Linked DNA regions of Saccharomyces cerevisiae S288C. The gene in region 1 interacts genetically with each later gene. Each region holds a gene or a part of one and is shown on either strand. Other genes may lie near its edges. The genes, in order: APM1 and YAL037W.

What was found.
Region 2: mutations in APM1 (region 1) and YAL037W together harm fitness more than expected from each alone (negative genetic interaction), as found in Saccharomyces cerevisiae (one large-scale study listed by BioGRID).

Annotation. Positions count from the first base shown.
Region 1 is NC_001148.4:50,408-54,599, reverse strand, and holds APM1 (Apm1p), read left to right. Parts: upstream 1-1,928; coding exon 1,929-3,356; downstream 3,357-4,192. Other genes in the region: THI21 (bifunctional hydroxymethylpyrimidine kinase/phosphomethylpyrimidine kinase), read left to right, coding at 1-1,102; CUB1 (Cub1p), read right to left, coding at 3,642-4,192. UniProt on the Saccharomyces cerevisiae protein: Component of the adaptor complexes which link clathrin to receptors in coated vesicles. Clathrin-associated protein complexes are believed to interact with the cytoplasmic tails of membrane proteins, leading to their selection and concentration.
Region 2 is NC_001133.9:72,147-75,323, reverse strand, and holds YAL037W (uncharacterized protein), read right to left. Parts: upstream 1,305-3,177; coding exon 501-1,304; downstream 1-500. Other genes in the region: GTP-binding protein RBG1, read left to right, coding at 1-281; YAL037C-A (uncharacterized protein), read left to right, coding at 1,806-1,898; pyruvate kinase CDC19, read right to left, coding at 2,036-3,177.

The DNA.
Region 1 (4,192 bases):
AGACCTTGCCAAAATCACCAAGTGTTCCAATATTTTGGTTAAAGGTGGTCACATTCCATGGAATGATGAAGAAGGAAAGTACATCACTGATGTCCTTTACTTAGGGGCCGAACAAAGGTTTATAACCTTCAAGGGTAATTTTGTTAATACAACCCACACTCATGGTACCGGGTGCACCCTAGCTTCCGCCATTGCATCAAATTTGGCTCGCGGTTATTCCCTTCCCCAATCCGTTTATGGCGGTATTGAGTACGTCCAAAATGCGGTGGCCATTGGCTGCGATGTCACGAAAGAGACTGTTAAGGACAACGGGCCAATTAATCATGTCTACGCCATCGAAATTCCATTAGAAAAAATGCTCAGTGACGAATGTTTCACTGCATCAGATGCCGTACACAAAAAGCCAGTCAAAAGTTCTCTTAACAAAATCCCTGGAGGAAGTTTCTATAAATATCTGATAAATCACCCTAAAGTTAAGCCCCACTGGGACTCCTATGTGAACCATGATTTTGTTAGAAAAGTAGCAGACGGTTCCTTAGAGCCTAAGAAGTTCCAATTTTTTATCGAACAAGATTACCTGTACTTAGTCAATTATGCCAGGATTTCCTGCATCGCGGGTAGTAAATCCCCGTGTCTTGAAGACCTGGAGAAAGAGCTAGTTATTGTCGAATGCGTTCGTAATGGGCTTTGCCAACATGAAAGGAGATTAAGGGAGGAATTTGGAATTAAGGATCCCGACTACTTACAAAAGATTCAAAGAGGTCCTGCATTAAGGGCTTACTGTCGTTACTTTAATGATGTTTCCAGAAGAGGTAACTGGCAGGAGTTAGTTATAGCTCTTAATCCTTGCTTAATGGGCTATGTTCACGCTTTGACCAAGATCAAGGATGAAGTAACTGCAGCAGAAGGCTCCGTTTACCGTGAATGGTGTGAAACTTACTCATCGTCATGGTGCCACGAAGCTATGCTTGAAGGCGAAAAGCTGTTGAATCACATCTTGGAAACATACCCTCCAGAAAAACTTGATACACTGGTCACAATATATGCTGAAGTTTGTGAATTGGAAGCTAACTTCTGGACCGCCGCTCTAGAATATGAATGAATAGACACATCGATTTTTACAAAATATACAAAAAGTTATACGTAGAAATAATGAATTATGCAAAAATAGGTGTCAATAATTTAAGAATGTTCCTTCATTTTTATTAATATAGTAAAAATTGTTCGGCAGAAACCAAAATCTTCGTTCTGATTTTGGCGTTCTAGCGGCGCTACCATCCTAGTCACATACCTCAAGTATTCACCATAATTTCGTTGATAACTTATCCGGCAGAAACTTTCTCATCTTTCAGAAACCTAACACTGCAGTTGGACATTCTCGTAACATTAGCTGACAGAACTACGACAGACAGTTGCGACATAAAAAAAAAAGAATCACAACTGAACGCATCTTAGGGAAACAGTTAATGTTGGCACTGATGATTATTTGAATAGTGCGTCTTTATATATATATATTTTCTTCAAGGTATTCCTCCATCTGAAAATAATTGAGCATTCGACCCAATATAAACGTTTTCTATGCGCTAAAATTACTGCATACTATCAATAGGACTGCTATGGATCTATAATAGTTATGTAATAAAGATGAAGATATTTCAATGGTATAAAATACGCTCGATATACTATAGCCATCATTAGACGTAACTTCAACTAAGCGAGAAAGGGTATCTCTAATTATGATAATAGTCTTTGAAAGTCGTTGATAGCGATGTTAATTGAACGTATTGAAATATTGCTAGACGATGAAAAATTAAGAGTTAAACGGAAAGTGGGCTGAACAAAAAAAAGCATATAGAGAAACTAAGTCGTACAATTAAATATAGGAGTATTTTTGAAAATTGTAAATTACGAACTTGGAGGGACACAGAATGGCTTCTGCAGTGTATTTTTGCGATCATAATGGGAAACCACTCCTATCAAGAAGGTATAGAGATGATATTCCGCTTTCTGCAATTGACAAATTCCCTATATTACTCTCGGATTTAGAGGAACAATCAAATCTGATTCCTCCATGTTTGAACCACAATGGTCTGGAATATCTATTTATACAGCATAACGATCTATACGTGGTGGCAATTGTGACTTCTCTTAGTGCCAATGCGGCTGCCATTTTTACTTTTTTGCACAAATTAGTGGAGGTATTAAGTGACTACTTAAAAACCGTTGAAGAAGAATCTATTAGAGATAATTTTGTTATAATATATGAATTACTGGACGAAGTGATGGATTATGGTATACCACAGATCACAGAAACTAAGATGCTGAAACAGTACATAACACAAAAATCCTTCAAACTAGTTAAATCCGCCAAGAAGAAGAGGAATGCTACTAGACCACCCGTCGCACTAACAAATTCAGTCAGTTGGAGGCCAGAAGGCATCACTCACAAGAAAAATGAAGCCTTTCTGGATATCGTCGAATCTATTAATATGCTCATGACTCAAAAAGGTCAAGTTTTGAGATCAGAAATTATCGGCGATGTTAAGGTTAACTCAAAATTGTCTGGTATGCCTGATCTGAAATTAGGTATTAATGATAAAGGCATTTTCTCCAAATATTTGGATGATGATACAAATATCCCATCAGCGAGCGCGACAACATCCGATAATAACACAGAAACTGATAAAAAACCATCAATAACATCATCATCGGCCACAAACAAGAAGAAAGTTAATATTGAATTGGAAGATTTGAAATTTCATCAATGTGTCCGATTAAGCAAATTCGAGAATGAAAAAATTATAACGTTTATACCTCCTGATGGAAAGTTCGATTTAATGAACTACAGACTATCTACTACGATAAAACCGTTAATTTGGTGTGATGTAAACGTTCAAGTTCATTCGAATTCTAGAATTGAAATTCACTGTAAGGCCAAGGCCCAAATTAAAAGAAAATCTACTGCAACTAATGTAGAGATATTGATACCGGTCCCGGACGACGCGGATACACCGACTTTTAAATATTCACACGGGTCTCTAAAGTATGTCCCTGAAAAAAGTGCAATCTTATGGAAAATAAGAAGTTTTCCCGGTGGTAAAGAGTACTCAATGTCTGCCGAATTGGGACTGCCTTCAATATCAAATAACGAGGATGGCAATAGAACAATGCCAAAAAGTAACGCGGAAATCTTGAAGGGACCTGTCCAAATCAAATTTCAAATACCCTACTTTACTACTTCAGGTATTCAAGTACGTTATCTTAAAATTAACGAACCCAAATTGCAGTATAAGAGTTACCCATGGGTAAGATATATCACGCAAAGTGGTGATGATTATACAATAAGGCTGACGTAATGTCTGAAAAATATATAAAAAAAGCAATTTCTACGGTGCATGGACAAAGACACAGGGTACGTATGTCCTTATTCCTCTTTTTCTCCCCCCTCCCATTGACAATTATGATAATGACATAAAGTTGTTTATATATTTTTGTTTTTATATAGATGCTCATTCAGGGTTTGTTATATACATAGACATAAGAGAATAACTTTTTTTCTTTCTGTATTTCATTTTATTGTTTATAATGTTTTCCTCTACCAAGAAAATAGGGAGAAATGGAAGATAAAGAAACACTCTCCTCTATTCCTGTTGATATTCAGATTCAGGCTCGCTGTCGTTTGAGTTCGAGTCTATGCCTGATTCTCCGTTGTCATCGTCGTCAGAACCATCACTTGAAGTAGAGTTCTGTGCTTTTTCCTCGGCTTCCACTTTTAATTCATGCAAGATATCAAAACATTCTGCTAATAAAGCATTCAATATACCTTGGCCTTCAGGTATATTGCCATCAGAGTCATAGAATATACCTTCAGTTCTCAGGTTGTCCAATGAAGCCAATTTCATTTGATAAGGGTATAACTCTCTTTCATTATTCACACCTCCCATTCTTTTCAATTCTAATAGGCAACGACGAACTGTAGATAGTTGATTGTGAATTGGCTGCAACGCTTCAGATACGGGCTCTGAACTTTCCAACAGTTTATAAATTATGGCATAACATCTACGCAACAGGTATAAAAGTATTGATTGCCCCTTTGAGTCCTGAGATTTTGTTGGAAACTTACCATTGATTCTTTTGTTATCAATTTCGTTCAATTTTTTTTGGTAAGAAAATAAATCGGTTTCTCTCAAAG
Region 2 (3,177 bases), on another chromosome or scaffold:
ATTGGAACTTGGACGAGCTGTTGCAAGTCATGTGGGATAGACTAAATCTAGTCCGTATTTACACTAAACCAAAGGGCCAAATACCAGATTTTACCGACCCTGTGGTGCTAAGATCAGACCGTTGCAGTGTCAAGGATTTTTGTAACCAAATTCATAAATCTTTAGTGGACGACTTTAGAAATGCTCTGGTTTACGGTAGCAGTGTCAAACATCAACCTCAATACGTGGGGTTGAGTCACATTTTGGAAGACGAAGATGTTGTTACCATCTTGAAAAAGTGATTCTCGAACAAAAAATAATATAAGAAATGAAAAAAAAAAAAAATAATTCATAATTGAATATACAAGCATTTGTATTCGAAAAGGGGGTATCGGTTATTTTTTTTCGCTGTTTTTCTTCCACCGTTTGAGTATAGAGCATCTATAACATTTAATTATCTCTACATAATGAATAAAAAAAACAGTCGTAATAATTAAAAATGTTATGCTACCGAGGGCTCTTCAAAAGCGACCTCGCTTTGTGGTACCCATAAGCATTCTGTTATCGATCGTAGAGTTTTCTGGTAAATTGACACATCTCCTCTTGACTGAGCTCGTCTGCCTACGTTTTAGAATTTCCTGGGTTTGGCCAAACTCCCACAGTTCTTTATCATTCAGAATATCGAACTCATCGGATGTACTGATGGATATGTTCAGGGTTGCTTTCATATATTGCAAAGAATCCTGGATGGTCACTAGTGGATAGTAGGTCATCACCCTGGAAATAAGAAATTTGAGAAGTGCGCAATCATAGGAATGTGATGATATAACCAAGATATTTCCAAAATGACTAAATGACTTAAAGAGTGCCAACAGATCGTTGAATGCCTGGTACTGTACCAAGGGCTCACCACTGAGGACATTCGAATTACAAAACTGGGGCAGTGATTGGATTGTATCGGTTTGTGCCTGTGTTAAAGATGTTTTTATCTTTTTGCCCATCTGCAAGTACTGTCCAACGAATTTCTGTAGTAGTATTGTATTGTTTCGTATATACAAATCAATTGCGGCCTTCTTTGTTGCTACTGCTGCTGTAGTTGGTGAGCAAAGATTCACGACTACCGAATTAGAGTTCCTGAAATACTGGGTATAAAACGACGCTATCTTTTCAGTACTTAGATTGACACCAATGATGAACTTAATATTTTCATATTGCAAAAGAATAGGTTGTGTCAATATCTCACAGGGTCCAAAATAAACATTGGTATCCAGTTTTTGTAACTTCAGGTCATCTATGGGGCTTGAATCTTCGATTTCCATATCCATAGCAGTGTTATTTCCTTTGCTTTTTGCGTAATTATTGGCACTATGTCACTGATTATATAAGCCACTTCAGTTTTCTTCCCATCTAATTAATTTTTCTTCGAAACACATTCTGTAAATAAGGGATTATGTTATGAAAAGAATACGTACTAGATGGCTAGAAGAATAGGACGGAGTAGCACTTATCGTTTCTGATAAGAGGATCAATCCTTTGAAATCTTGAAACGCGAATAAATTTAGGACACTAATTGAATCTGCCCGCGTCATTTTTTATAAAAAATAGATTAAACCACCAAACGAAGGCCAGAAGCTGAACATAGTTCACTGGCATCTGCATTTATGTACCCATGTATAACCTTCCAAGTTAGTTCTTGGGAAACGAAAATTATATTGAATTTTTTATTGAATTTTTAGCGTATCCTTTCGCCATCCTGATAATCATGATAACCTTGAGGGAAGATTATCTTGCGATGGGAGGGATCAAATTTAGCAAATTTTGACTCTATGTCAATCTCGTTTCCAAAAATGCAACACCTCATCGTTATGACGACAATTGGAGACAAAAAGGTTAACAATAACATAATACTCTTTTTATAGAATACCTTATAAAATGTATGTTATTTAAGTAACTTATAAATCTTTATTTGAGTTGAAAAGAAAAACCATGTCTTTATATAAAATTTAAAAAATATAATTCAAAAAAATAATATCTTCATTCAATCATGATTCTTTTTTTAAACGGTAGAGACTTGCAAAGTGTTGGAGTGACCAGCACCGGCCTTGAAACCTTGGATGGAAACGTAAGTGTCACCCTTCTTCAAGATACCGAATTCCTTAGCCTTTTCAATACCGAAGTTGATACGGGCTTCAACATCATCAGTCCAGTCAGAGACAGGTTCCTTTTCGAAAACGAATGGGAAGACACCTCTGTACAAGTGAGAGAATCTAGCAGCTCTTGGGCATCTGGTAACCAAGATGATTGGACAGTTTGGTCTGTACTTGGAAACCAATCTTGGGGTGGTACCGGAAGTGGACAAGACAATGATAGCCTTGGCCTTTTGTTCGAAAACAGCAGCGACAGCGGAGGCAGCGACGGTTTCGGTGGTGGAGGTTGGCTTTGGAGTACAGTTTCTCATGTCATCGTAGTTTGGCAAGTAAGCGATAGCTTGTTCAGCAATGACAGCGGTTTCAGCCATAGTGGTAACGGCGTTGATTGGGTAGTTACCCTTGGCGGTTTCACCAGACAACATAACACAGTCAGCACCATCCAAGATAGCGTTACCGACATCGGAAACTTCAGCTCTGGTTGGTCTTGGGTTGTAAGTCATGGATTCCAACATTTGGGTAGCACAGATAACTGGCTTACCAGCCAAGTTAGACTTAGCAATCAATTTCTTTTGGACAGCCAAGACTTCTGGGGCTGGGATTTCAATACCCAAGTCACCTCTGGCAACCATAACACCGTCAGTGACCTTCAAGATTTCGTCGAAGTTGTTAACACCTTGTTGGTTTTCAATCTTGACAATGATCTTGACGTCCTTACCTTGTTCACCCAAGACTTCTCTGATGGTCAAAACATCGTTGGCGGTTCTGATGAAAGAAGCGAAGACCATGTGGACACCGTTCTTGACACCGAATCTCAAATCTTCCTTGTCCTTTTCAGACAAAGCTGGCAAATCGACATCGGTACCTGGTAAGTTGACACCCTTGTGGGAACAGATCTTACCGGCGTTCAAAGCCTTGACCTTCAAAGTCTTGTCGTCAACGACTTCCAAAACTTGGAAAGACAAAACACCATCATCAACGTAGATGATTCTACCAGCGGAGATGACCTTGGTGATGTTCTTGTAGTCAACGTACATGATCTTGTCGTCAC